Elephas maximus indicus: one gene and its partner. The protein of the gene in region 2 purifies or fractionates together with the protein of the main gene of each other region. This does not show direct contact. Links are inferred from orthologs where the notes say so. Each region holds a gene or a part of one and is shown on either strand. Other genes may lie near its edges.

The links. The genes of interacting proteins can lie anywhere in the genome.
Region 1: the proteins of GTF2H4 (region 2) and MNAT1 purify together in Homo sapiens (co-immunoprecipitation; 3 studies listed by BioGRID and IntAct, with this or other methods). This does not show direct contact. The link is inferred for Elephas maximus indicus from reciprocal best matches to the Homo sapiens genes GTF2H4 and MNAT1.

What each region holds. Positions count from the first base shown.
Region 1 is NC_064828.1:73,065,728-73,072,850, reverse strand, and holds the start of MNAT1 (CDK-activating kinase assembly factor MAT1), read right to left. Parts: upstream 3,907-7,123; 5' UTR 3,702-3,906; coding exon 3,613-3,701; intron 1-3,612.
Region 2 is NC_064819.1:91,217,312-91,224,434, forward strand, and holds the start of GTF2H4 (general transcription factor IIH subunit 4), read left to right. Parts: upstream 1-2,849; 5' UTR 2,850-3,026; intron 3,027-3,615; 5' UTR 3,616-3,618; coding exon 3,619-3,758; intron 3,759-4,201; coding exon 4,202-4,306; intron 4,307-4,654; coding exon 4,655-4,786; intron 4,787-5,047; coding exon 5,048-5,144; intron 5,145-5,238; coding exon 5,239-5,327; intron 5,328-5,537; coding exon 5,538-5,649; intron 5,650-5,811; coding exon 5,812-5,880; intron 5,881-6,090; coding exon 6,091-6,174; intron 6,175-6,381; coding exon 6,382-6,514; intron 6,515-6,714; coding exon 6,715-6,845; intron 6,846-7,123. UniProt on the Homo sapiens protein: Component of the general transcription and DNA repair factor IIH (TFIIH) core complex, which is involved in general and transcription-coupled nucleotide excision repair (NER) of damaged DNA and, when complexed to CAK, in RNA transcription by RNA polymerase II.

The DNA.
Region 1 (7,123 bases), on a different chromosome or scaffold from region 2:
TTCTTACCTATCAGAATGACAAGATTAAAAAATATAAAAATGTTCAATGTCAACAATGACATGCCACAATAGGAATTCCCATACACAGTTGTTGGGAACATAACTGATACAATCTTTTTCAGGAACAACTTAGCAATATTCATCAAAATTTAAAAGCCACCTACTCTGACACAACAATTCCAATACTAGACATTCGCCCTATGGTTTACAGATTGTATCTTACGATACACTTACTTAAGTGCTTAAAGAGGTAAGAATGTTTACTCCATGGAAAAATTGGAAACCTAAACATTTACTTAAAAAAGATTGGTTACATAAATTACAGTATAACCAAACAGTTGAGATGCTAGTCAACTGTTAAAAATGAAGAAGACATATATACTGATTTAGAAAAATAACCAAGGTATACTTAATGCAAAAAGTAAGTTTACAATAAGATGCCATATATGCTGGTAGGAGAAAAGGTTTCCTACCTAAACACACATTCATGCTTGTATATGCATAGAAGATGTCTGGAAAGATACAGCAGCAACATAAAAGCTTTTACCTTTGGGGAAATGAATCAGAGATATTTTCACTTAATATCCTCACGTTGCTTCAACTATTAATTAATTGTTAATATGATTGTTTTAATTTTTTAATTACAAAAAAAAAAAAAACTAGTGAGCTCTCTCCTATACTCACCGATACAGAGCAGAGCTGTATTCTAGTTTAAAATAATTCTTAAAACACCTGTTGCCATAGAGTCAATTCCAACTCATAGTGACCCTATAGGACTGGGCAGAACTGCCCCATAGGGTTTCCAAGGCTTTAATCTTTAAGGAAGCAGACTGCCACCTCTTTCTCCCACCAAGGGGCTGGTGGGTTTGAACCTTAAACATTTCAGTTAGAAGCCAAGCACTTAACCACTGTACCACCAGGGCTCCTTAATTCATAATAATTCTTAATGGACTTGATGAGCCTGAGACCAGAAGAACTAGATGGTGACCAGTTACCACCAATGACTGCAGTGACAGGGAACACAACAGAGAATCCCTGATAGCGCAGGAGGAAAGTGGGTTGGGTGCAAAACTCAAATTCTAGTAAAAAGACCAGACTTAATGGTCTGATTGACACTGGAGGGACCCCAGAAGACATGGTCCCTGGACTCTCGGTTAGCCCAAAACTAAAACCATTCCCAAAGCCAACTCCTCAGACTACAGACATACAATGACACTGGTGAGGAGTGTACTTCTTACCTCAAGTAGACACATGAGACTAAGTGAGCAGCTCCTGTCTATAGGCAAGATAAGAAAGCAGAGGGGGAGAGGAGCTGGCTGAATGGACACAGGAAATACAGGGTGGAGAGGAGGAGCAGTATGCTGTCACATTATAGGGAAAGCAACTAGGGTCACATAACAACGTCTGTATAAGTTTTTGTATGAGGAACTGACTTGAACTGTAAACTTTCACTTAAAGCACAATCAAAAAAAGAAAACTACAATATGATCATAATAATTAAAGTTATATTTTAAAATAATCATTATTGTGCTAGTATTTAATAGCAAGCCAAATAAACCCTCTTAATTTTATTTCTGCCTATTACTCATACTGGAAACCCTGGTGGCATAGTGGTTAAGTGCTACAGCTGCTAACCAAAGGGTCGGCAGTTCGAATCCTCCAGGCACTCCTTGGAAACTCTATGGGGTAGTTCTACTCTGTCCTATAGGGTCACTATGAGTTGGAATCGACTCGACAGCACTGGGTTTGGTTTTTATCACTCATACTGTTGTTGTTGTTAGGTGCTGTTGAGTCGGTTTTGACTCATAGTGACCCTATAGGACAGAGTAGAACTACCCCACAGGGTTTCCAAGGAGTGGCTGGTGAATTTAAACTGCAGACCTTTTGGTTAGCAGCCGAGCTCTTAACCACTATGCCAGCTGGGCTCCATCATATTACCCACATGATGTGATAGCCAATATATATGGAGCACATACTATGTGACAAGAACTCTACTAAATACCTCCAAATATTTTACATATGTTGTTAGTAGAGGGTCAACATAAACAAGGGAAACTCTCAATAAAATGGACGGACACAATAGCAACAACAACGGATTCAAACATGCCAACAATCATGAACATGGCACAGAACTGGGCAACATTTTGTTCTGTTATATACATAAGGTTGCCGTGTGTCAGAAGCAACTCAAGGGCATATAACAACAATTTAATCCTTAAGCACTCTAATAAAAGTACCATTACCATCTCTGTTTGAGACATAATATCTTGCCCAAAGTCACACAAGAGTAAAGAATTTGAAATCAAGCAGACTGATTCCAGAGCTTATTCTCTTAACCAATACCCTACACTGCCTTCTTGAATGACACTGTAGTATATACCCTCTTGAATTTAGGAGGTTTTCTTTTATTTTTTTTATACTTCAAGTCAAAAAAGGAATGCAAAGTGTAGTCTGCATCTAACATGTTAACAAATAAACCAAAATAAATACAATACCAGAATGAATTAGAAAATTCTTATGAGATAACAAAACAGACTAAGGATACAATGAAAGCAATTTCCAAAATAAATATTATATAACTAATAAAAATGCCATTTATTTTACTGAAATTCCATAATCTTCCCTAATTGGTTGATTAGTACTAGGCAGAAATTTCTTCCAGTCAATTAAACATCCTTCCAAAAGAGCATACTTGGTCATCTATCTCCCTTTCCTTCGGCACCAAATGTAACAAACTTAATACAAGAAAATGGAAATAAACTGGATAAAATCTAAAAACCTAACCGTCTCTCTACAATGCTTGCCTCCCTTCTTTTTTCCACGCATCCTATTTGATTATGTTTACCTTATTTCTAATGTTAAACCATTCAGTCAGAGCTCTACTGTACTCCTTTGCTGGGTAAGTCAAAGATAAATAAAGATTAATTAGAAAAAGGAACCAATCAAGTAATTTCATAAGTTCTATCATGATACCAATACCTACTTCCTAGGGCTGTTCTGGGAATGAACTAAAATAATTCATGGTAAAAAGCTTAAAATAGTGGCTGGCACCTAGTGAACGTACAATAGGTCCAAAATTAACTGCCTGGAGTTCGGATTTTCTCCCTTTTAGTGATGAGACTATCACCGAACTCTTTTTTTTTTTTTTTTTTGTATCAGGACAACTGGGCATACAGATGAGGTTTTCAAATTATCCCATACAATAAATAGCAGCTGTATATACTCGTAGAAATTTTAACTTTTTTTTTTTAATGTGAAACTAAAGAAACACTCCAAGCCCTCACCCCCACACTTTTAAGCAGCGACATGTGTGGAGCCCACTGGACACCCCAGAGCCCGGAAATAAGTCGAGATTCCCAGGCACCACGGAGGAGGACCCTGACCAACAGCGGGGCACCGCATCGGAGCACCGCTAGCCCAAAGCAGGCCGGGATCGCTCCGCGCTAGCGGCTACCGTCCGTTTACAGAAAGCAACGCTCCCTCTTGCCGTTTTCCTCCCTTTTGTCGAAACTAACGACGCCCTTTACTGTCCTGACCCCAGGCAGAGCATCTCCCGGCTCTCCTCCCACCCTGCGCCTCGCCCCGACTGGAAACCACTGTCGCCGTACTCACAAAGTGTGTCCGCACACATTCACCATCAGCTTCAAGGAGGGGTTCCGGTACTTGGTGGTCTTACACCGGGGGCAGCCCTGATCGTCCATAGCTCCTTCACCCTTACAAACTCGCCCCGAAGCCTGCTTCAGCCACAGCCCCCTCCAAGACCCTCGGTATTGACGCCAAGCAAGTTCTCACCAACCGGCACTTGTCAGTGACGGTCCCTTCGTGAATGAGCACCGGCCGGGGCGAGGCTCTACAGTACAAACGTTCCGGCTGCGAGTTCTCTGGTCCTGCTCTGGGGCTCTGTCTTAGCGGCGCAACACCTTGGTTTGGGAAAAAAAAAAAAAAAAAAAAAAAACTTTTATTTAAAGAACAAGTGACTTTTAATCCATTCGTCTGTGAGTTTGAACTATATGGTATCATTTCCTTTAAGACAGAGATTAACTCTAATACCTGTGTATTCTAAAAAAAATACAACTGTACAGTAAATGAACAAATCTGTAATTTAACATCACATACTATATCATTGTAATGATGCTAAACCACTCAAGACTTAGAAAAAGAACATTTCTTTTCTTTAGGTGCTGAATGTGATTTTACTCGCTGAGCCTTCACATGAATGGTGTCTGGGCACTATTTTTTCTTTCTTTTTTAGCGTTTCTTACACGTACGATTCAGTGACATCAATTAAGACCATCATGTTGTACAACCATCACCGCTATCAGAAAAAAAAAAAACTTTTAAAAGGCAAATTGTACACCTCTCACCTCTATGCACTTAGTCACATTTTTTCAATGTGCTACGTCACAATTACGACGAAAAATTCCATTTTCTATCTAAAAATATTTCCATGATTTCAAAGATTTGTTCTGGTGTACATATTTGATAATTCAGACTAGTATTTTCTTTTGGACAGTTTGATGGCCTGTGCTTTATACTTTTATACTTGTACAGCCAGACATGCAAGCATAGAAAATACAATGCATTCTCAGATATGCAAAGTTTAGAAAATTTATCTAGAATTACAGTCCCTGTACCAACTCTAAATACTACAGATTCTCACTAAATAGCAGAATATTAATATAAATAATATCTGGCATCTGCTCTGCAGAGACCTGCTCACCTGAAGACTGTCAAACGGGCCCAATAGTGTCAAGTGAGCCTAATATTTCCTCCCTATTCCCACTCAACCAAAGACAACATTTATTTTCCCAAATACTGGGGAAAAAACTTAGAAAAATATATGCAACTTTCTTTCAGCAATTCCAAGATCTAAAACTGGAATCTCTTTGGAAATTGTAAGCCACATTCAGTGCATTTATCAAGGCTATAAAATAAAGTCTATAAATGGCTCTATTAAATAAAAAACTGTTCCCATTGTAAGGGACTGAATCTTAATGACCTCCATAGCACATCTCAATAAGGACTTGTGAATATGTATTGAATAAGTAGAGTAAATGTATGACTGATCATCAAATAATAGTACAAAGTGAAAATCTTTATGCCAAACATTATCTCTCTTGCAATCACCTTCACCTGACCTAAATTCCATCCAGACAAGTGGGCATGCAGAAAAGATTTTCAAATCAACCCACACAATGATTGGAAGCTGTATACATTCATAGTAATTTTAACTTTTCATGTTACTTTCGTTCTTTTCAATTAAAAAAAAAACTCAACCTTCATACTTTTAAACAGTGAACCCACTTGGCAACCTGTAACATGGAAATACAGTTGGGATTTACATGAGTTATGGAGGGAAAACCTGACAACAGCTGAATATCATATGAGAGAACCAGCAGCCCAAAGCAGGCCATGGCAGTGCAAGCTTTATATTAGTGTAAAGACAAGTCACCCAACAAACAAATCATGTCCTTGATCATAATATTTATTATTCATTAAAAGAAGCTAACAAAATGTAAGTTTACTAAAATTGACAACACCCAACATGGCCCGACCTACAGGCTTATTGTGTTCCTTTTACCTTATTGAAAGAGATCACAGTGTTTAATCCCAACTGTTTACATGACTCACAGTGAAGCTCTCCAAGAATAAAGCCAACTTTTAAGGTCTTTCTACTTTAACAGAACAGGAAAATCCTGATGAAAGAATGAATATGGCCAGAGTGCAAATGAAATTTTGAACCAGCACCATATCAAGAAGTCAAACACTCAGTCGGCATTACTGTTTATTACCAACAGGACAGTTTGAATCATGTCTTTTAACAGGAGACCCCCACCACATTGTGAAGTTAATTGCATTTCCTGCCTCCTAGCCTTGAGATCAAGGCAAAGAAAAGCAGGTGGGAAAGTACCAGCAGGGAAGCGTGGTGGCAACAGGTGGTTTGGAATTCTATCAGATAAACTTTGGCCATGGAGCTAGAGGGAATAAAAACTAGTGCTTGTAGATGTGGCTTCTGGCACCAAGTGCTGGCTTCATCACTAACTAGCTATGTGACCTTGGGCCTTACTTCTCTCAGCTTTAAACTAAGGATAATACTTGCAAAGATTAAATGAGATATTTCATTAAAAGTACTCAACACAGGGAGGCGGGGCCAAGATGGCAGATTAGACAGACGCTTCCGGCAAGCCCTCTTACAACAAAGACCTGGGAAAAAAAAAAAGTGAAACGATTATATTTATGACAAGCTAGGAGCCCTGAACATCAAACACAAAGTTAGAAAACATACTGAGTGGCACGGGAAGGAAGAGACCGTTAAGAAAAGGAGAGGAGTTACCGGACCTGAGTTGCCAGGAGCCCTCAGGCACCATTCGCGGAGTGGCTGCGGCAGGCTGGTACTAGCGTTTGGCCAAAGTTTCCTCACGGAGAAGCAGACAGCCACACAGCCTACTCACACCTCCAGAACCAGAGAACAGTGCTCTCGGCAAAAGCGAAGTACTTGCAAATATTTTACTGTGCCCCCGCCCACCTCCAAAGCTGACTTCATTGGCTGTTAATTTCCCTGGGCCTGAAAAAGGCCTGAAAAGCCATTCTCCTGCTCTTGAAGAAGGAATAAAATTGCAATTGGGGGAAAAGATAATTTGCCATCTCCACTAACCAGGGGCGCTCAGGACAGAAGCAGCTCCTGTCCAGGCATAAACAGTCTGTGGACTTTGAGTATCTTTCCCCTCTGCATGGACCTCTGTGGGCCTATTTCAGAAGAACAGGTCCCTGTTGGCAGACTACAACTGTTACAGTTGTGCGGTGAGGTGGTGGGTGTTTGATGTTTGACACCACTTTACCTATTAAACAGCATCCTCACCTACCCACATCAGGGGCCTAAGAACTGGTGGCTCCACTCAGGTCAGGCAGTCACCTGCAACAGGGGTCCAAGGATAACTGGTACCTCCTAATCCTTACAAACAAAAACATTGGGTGCTCATGGGCCATCTGCAGAATCCACCCACCTGTACACTCTAGGGAAGAGGGACGCGCTTTCCTCAGAAATGCTTGGGGGACAATTCACAGCCCCCTGCCTTGTTGAGAGTGTGACCCCCTGCTGCAACCAGATACCAGTACCTACACC
Region 2 (7,123 bases):
GTATAACCCTATGGGTTGCTTGAGTGAGCTAGCTTGATTATTTTCACCTTTTGAGCTCTGACATCTGGTCCCCAGATGGCTAGAGCTGTTATCAGGTATATCAGTCTAGGAGTCCATTCAGTTTTGTTGTATGAATTCAGCTCAGGTTTCCGGGTAGCTGATCATCAAGTATGTGTTACAGGCTCTGTACTACAGACTTAGAGGGGCAGGGGTGATTGGCATATATATCGGTATCTGATTGCAGCAGGGGGTCACGCTCTGAACAAGGTAGGTGGCTGAGAACCGACTCCCGAGTGTCTCTGAGGAAAGCATGTCCCTGTTCCCTAGAGTGTGCAGGTGGGTGGGTTCTGCAGACGGACCATGGGCACCCAAAGTTTTTGATTGTAAGGTCTGGGAGGTACCAGTTATCTTTGGACCCCTGTCGCGGGTGGCTGGGTGACCTGAGTGACCTGAGTGGAGCTACCAGTCCTTAGGTCCCTGATATGGGTAGGTGGGGACCTTGTTTAATAGGCAAAGCAATGTCAAACATCAAACACCCACCTCTTAAACGCACAGCTGAAATGGTCAGAGTCTGCCAACAAGGGCCTATTCTCCCGAAATAGTCCCACACACGTCCATGCAGAAGGGAAAGGTGCTCAAAGTCCACGGATGGTTTATGCCTGGAGAGGAGCTGCTTCTGTCCTGAGGTCCCCGGGTTAGTGGAACTAGCAAATTATCTTTTCTCCCAAATGCAAATTTTTTCCTTCCCCAAGGCTGGGAGGATGGCTCTAGGTGCTGAACAGTGCCTATCTCAGGCCCAGGGAGTTCAGCCTCTGAAGCTGGCTTGGGGGTGGGGGGGCATGGTAAAATATACCCAAGTACTTAGCTTTTGCCAAGAGCACTGTTCTCCTCAGGTTCCGGAGGTGTGAGTGGGCTGTAAGGCTGGCTGCTTCTTCCTGAGGAAACGGTGGCCAAATGCTACTACCAGCCCGCCGCCGCTGCCGCTCCAGGAATGGTGCCTGAGGGCTCCCGGCGATTCAGGTTCGATAACCACTCTCCACTTCTGAATGGTCTCTTCCTCCCCCTGCCCCTCAGTTCGTTTTCTAAGCTTGCCTTTAAAGCTCAGGGCTCCCAGCTTGTCACAAACATACTGGTTTCACTTGTTTTTTCAGGTCTTTGTTGTAAAGAGGGCTCCCCAGAAGTGTCTGTCTATTCCGCCATTTTGGCTCTGCCTCTCGAGTTTTTTTTTGACTCATAGAGACCCCACCGGGCAGAGGAGAACTGACCCACAGAGTTTCCAAGAGGCAGCTGGTGAATTCAAACTGCTGACCTTTTGGTCAGCAGCTGAGCTCTTAACCACTGCGCCCCCAGAGCTCTGAAACTATTGACAGATACTGCCAAATTGCCCTTAAAAAGGCGTATGTCAACCTTTGACAAAAGTGTGTAAGTGAAAAAAATTTGTATGAGTATGCTCGTATATCCTTGTGAACACTGAGTTTGTCAAACCTTGTTTTGTTTTGTTTTTTATTGTTGAGCTAATCTTGTACTTTATGGTTTACTTTGATATTTGGTTTCAATTTACTTTTCCATAATTACTACTGAAATTTAGTTTTTTCATCTGTTTACAAGGCACTTGTATTTTTTCTGTTTATTGTCTGTTCATCTCTTGTGCTTTTCTTTTGTTTTTATTGCTTTGTAAGAGCTTTTTGTATTTTGTCTATTTTATCAAACATTTCTTCCCAGACCGTAATCTGTCTTTTAACTCTAACTTTTGCCATAAAAGAGTTTTGTCAGCTTTGTATCATGTTTTGAGGATTTTAAACGCTGACTGCTAAAGAAACAGACAGGGAATACAAAGCCTAAGAAAGTCTTACCATTTTGGGTCCAGTATCCTTTGCTGCCTCACAAATGTGCTTCAAATTCCAGCTTTTGCACTGTCTAGCTGTCTGATTGTGGGCAAATCTCTCAACCTTGCTGGGCTTCAGTTTTCGTTTGTAAAGATGGAATAATAAAACCTGCCTTATAGGAACTTGGGGGGAAGTGTACTTCTAGTCTGAGGACGTCCCCTCCCCTTTCCCTGCAGTAGATTTGTAAGCCAAATCAGAGCAACTTTTTTTTTTTAATTGTATTTATAACGACCTTCTAACTAAACGAGAGGTGACTGCGTGGTGGAGGTGGAAATTAAGATTTATTGAGTACTTACGTGCCAAGTAAGGTGCAATAGCCAAAAACCGAATCAATTACATAGCCGTGGAGTCAATTCCAACTCATAGCTACCCTGTAAAACAGAATAGAACTGTCCCCACAGGATTTCCAAGGCTGTAAATATTTACGGACGCAGACTGCCCGATCTTTCTACTGCGGAGCAGCTGGTGGGTTCCAACCGCTGACCCTTCGGTTAGCAGCCGAGCGCTTAACCACTGCGCAACAAGGCTCATTGGACCGTGTCAACTCCAAACTCGCGCAAACTTTCGGGAATGTGCTCTGTCCCAACTTCACGGGGAGTAACTAAGCTCAAGGAACCCAGTTCCCACGTCTCTAAGCCTAAGCGCCTCACACCGCGCCGCCTCAGCACGCCTCTGCCCGGAAGCCCTCCGGGCCCATCTACTCCCGGGACCCGCCTCCCGCCTGCCGCCGAAGCCGGTTAGATGCGATGTTAGCACCGTGGGTCGAGAGCGCCGCGGAACGAAAGAGCCCAGCCGGTATCCCCAGCTCTCTAAATTAAAAACCAGCCTCTCTCCTGCCCGCTTTCTCGCGGTGCGTTTCGGGAGTTGTAGTCAGACGCGCTTCGGCCTGCTTCGGGATGGACAAGAACAAGACTCCAATTCCCAGTATGTCCCGCGGCTGGGGAGTGCAGCGCCTATTCTCCTCCCCACTTTTCCACGCCTTCCTTTCTCTTCTAAATCCTCCGCTCTGAGTTCCTGCCTGTGAAGTCCTTCGTCCCTCTTGCCAGTCTTTTTCTCGCATTTTTTTCACCATTCTTTCTCTTATTCCTGGGAGCCAATGCGAGACACCAGTTCCCATTAAGCGACTGCTCGAGACTCGGGGTGCGCGAGGGGTATCGATCCAGAGTGGTGAGGGGCACCCAGGAGGGCGGGGGTGGCGGAGAAATGAGAGAGAAATTGAGAGGAGAGGAGTGGGAGGAAAGTAGGGGAGAAGTTAGGAGCTAGGACTATGTGGGATCACGGTGAATGGGGGGAAACGGTGGCAGGGAGACGTAATTTATTGCCGTTTCCTAGCACAAGTGGGGCTAAGAAATTGCAGATGGGAAGAACTGACAGATTTGGAGCTCATAGTCTGATCTGACCAGGGAGGATGGAAGGGAGGGAGGGGACTGGGTTCAAACTGGCTTCTTAGCCACTGCTCAGCTAAAAGTGAGACAAGCCATTGAAATACAAAATGATTTTTGCAAACATGGGACAATTAACAGAAGTAGGGTGTGAGGAGGCAGGCAAGTAGGGGAGCTTGGTCAGATTTGGGAGAAACAGGAGGAGATAAGTGAGATGGAAAAGGAAACCACAGAAAAGATGGGTTATCGTGGAGGAGGCTGAATCTGATCTCGAATCAGAATGAGAAAGGTGAGGGGTGGTACTGGCATGGTTGGTGGGAGTGCTCTTCTAACAATGCATCCTTCAGGTGATGGAGAGCACCCCTTCAAGGGGCGGACTGAACCGAGTACACCTACAATGCCGGAACCTGCAGGAATTCTTAGGGGGCTTGAGCCCTGGGGTATTGGACCGATTGTATGGGCATCCTGCCACCTGTCTGGCTGTCTTCAGGTGAGGACCCCCTTGAAGGCAGGGACCATGTGGTGGGGGGAAAATGCAATGAAGGCCTCCAGACTTGAATAAGTTATCATGGGTAGAGGCTTAGCAGCCCTGGAGAACTTGGAGATTACTCATAAGGGTGGTAGGCCAAAATAGATGGAGTTTGTGGGGCAGCAGGACTGGTAAAGGTGTGAGGGCTAAGATGGGACATTTGAGAGGCCCTTGATGGCATAGTGCTTAAAAGCTACAGCTGCTAACCAAAAAGTCGGCAGTTCGAATCCACTAGGTGCTCCTTGGAAACCCTGTGGGGCAGTTCTATTCTGTCCTGTTGGGTTGCTGTGAGTTAGAATTTATTTGACAGCAATGGGTTTTTTTTTTTTTTTTTGGTTTTGATGGCATAGGTGCAGCTATAAGGCAGCTTCTGACATTAACATTTGACATCTACTCCTCTGTAGGGAGCTCCCATCTTTGGCTAAGAACTGGGTGATGCGGATGCTTTTTCTGGAACAGCCTTTACCACAAGCTGCTGTAGCCCTGTGGGTGAAGAAGGAATTCAGCAAGTGAGTCTCTACTGCTTTCTCACCAGATACAAATTTCCCAGCAGGTGTATTTCCCAAACTGCTGTTCCTTCGAACACTCCCGGGAAGTATTAATGGTATTAATGGGTATGCCACAAAGCTTGTAATTAAGTTTGGGAACTCTGCATGCTATATTTCCCTCTCGGAGAGCCACGATATGTACTGAGATGCTCTGATAAGCGTTAGAGTAAAGAAATTTAAGACACTGATTTCACTCTGGAACAGTGTTCTAAGGATCTCTGGTTCAGAAAAGGCAGAAATCAAAGCTTTTATGGGCCTACTTCTTTTTGTTCTCCAGACACCCAAGTCACCTCTTTGCTTCTGTTTCAGGGCTCAGGAGGAAAGTACAGGGCTGCTGAGCGGCCTCCGTATCTGGCACACCCAGCTGCTCCCTGGAGGTCTCCAGGGCCTCATCCTCAACCCCATCTTCCGTCAGAACCTCCGCATTGCCCTTCTGGGTGGGTATGTCACCTCCATCTCTTCCTCACCTAGGACAGGGGAAATGATAAACTTCTTGGGGGCTAACTCCCAAGGGGCCTCCCTGTAACCTTGTGGGTGCACCTTTGGGAGCCCCTTTATAAATAAATCAGTTGGACCAGATGTAGCTGGGTGGGGTAGGAAATGTCCCCCACTCATGTTCCATGGGGATAAGGGGGGAAAGGGGGCGGGGGTAGGTGGGGAGCACAGGGCAGGTTCCTTACTCTTGGCCCATTTTGGCCATAGAGGAAAGGCCTGGTCTGATGACACAAGTCAGCTAGGACCAGACAAGCATGCCCGGGACGTTCCCTCCCTGGACAAGTATGCTGAGGAGCGATGGGAGGTGAGGACTTGGGACTGTGTGTGTCTCTGTTCATGCTGCTACTTACCTGTGGCCCTTAGAGGCATCACTCTCTCTGTTCTTTTCCATTTCTTAGGTAGTCCTGCACTTCATGGTGGGCTCCCCCAGTGCAGCTGTCAGCCAGGACTTGGCACAGCTCCTCAGCCAGGCTGGGCTCATGAAGAGGTACAACAGCTCCTGCTTTGCTGTCTCCTTGGGTCCCTGCTAAACTGGGTGTCTCGGGAGGATCAGGATTGGAGGGGTTGGCTGAAAAAAGGAGAGCTGGGTGGAGTAAGGCCAAAGATACCAAAAACAAACCAAAAAAAGTGAGAGGGCAAGTGGGGATGGTGGCCCTTCTCTGTGTATCTCCACCATCGTCCCTGTCTGTGTCCCTAGTGCTGAACCTGGAGAGCCACCCTGCATTACTTCCGCTGGCTTCCAGTTTCTGCTGCTGGATACCCCTGCCCAGCTCTGGTACTTTATGCTGCAGTATCTGCAGACAGCCCAGGTGAGGCCAGGGGCTGCTTGCCAGCCTGCTCTGCTCTTCCCAAGACAACTCCCAATGAGAGACCCCCACCTATAGGCTCTGTTTCCTGATTTTCTCTTTTCTCCTTCTCCTCCCTTTTCTCCCTCCTATCCTTCCTCTTTTTCTCTGCCCCTTCCTCCCTAGAGCCGGGGCATGGACCTAGTGGAGATTCTCTCCTTCCTCTTCCAGCTTAGCTTCTCTACTCTCGGCAAGGTAAGCAGGGGGCTGGAGCTGGGGGCTTGGGTGGGTGGACTGAGGGGGTAGGTTGATGGGAAGGGGAATTCAGGTTATGGAGCAGTAGAGTAAGGAGGTAAGATTGGACAAAGAATGACCAGAGATGGGAAAGGAGGCATGAGCATATGGGATTGGGGGAGAGAGGAGGGGATGTGTTTTGGACCCCAGGTGGCCACCTCTCTTCTCTAGGATTACTCTGTGGAAGGTATGAGTGATTCTCTGTTGAACTTCCTGCAACATCTTCGTGAGTTTGGACTCGTTTTCCAGAGGAAGGTACAAGCACCCAGATGCATGGATCCTAGGGAAGAGCCAGGGTAGAGGCAGTAGCAGGAAGCAGTTGCCAGGACTGCATGTTTGGTCCCTAGGGGAGAGAAGTTGGGGGCCGAGGTTCTGTGCAGGGGGAGGGACCTGAGTTTTAGGCAGGGAGGTGTCAGGCAGTGACACCTGAGGGCCCTCTGTCCTTCCCTTCTGTCCTTCCAGAGGAAATCTCGGCGTTACTACCCCACACGCCTGGCCATCAATCTCTCATCAGGTGTCTCTGGGGCTGGGGGCACTGCGCATCAGCCTGGCTTCATCATAGTGGAAACTAATTACCGACTATATGCCTACACGGGTGAGGACAGACAGAGGGCTGGGAGGGGAGGGTGGGCGAAGAGGGGGGCAGAGAGCAGGAGGGAGTGCTGGTTTATGTTCAGATCTCCCAGGCACCTGCATGTTTACACAGTTCCCTGACGTTCCTTATCACATTTGTAGGAGGGGCTTGAGAGGGTCCGGGTGTGGGTGTCTTCATCCTCTCTTCTTACCACTGGCCAGAGTCGGAACTGCAGATCGCTCTCATTGCCCTCTTCTCTGAGATGCTTTATCGCTTCCCCAACATGGTGGTGGCGCAGGTGACCCGGGAGAGTGTGCAGCAGGCTATCGCCAGTGGCATCACAGCCCAGCAGGTATCCTCACATGGGAAGATGGGCTGCACTTGGGCCGTGGGGTACAAGGTAGTCACGTTACAGAAGGCTAGTACCAGGCCTGTTACAGTAGGTGGAGTTGGGGGTGTGTTTGTGTTTGAGCACCAGGCACAGGAGAAGTCAGTGCTCTAGGTGTCGGAACAGACAGACCTTTAAAAGGAAAAAACGTGGAAGGAGGGAAAACCCTGGATTTGTGTCTCAGCACCACCACTTCCTAGCTGTGTAAACTGGTCCTGTTTGCTTCACTTCTGTAAGCCTCA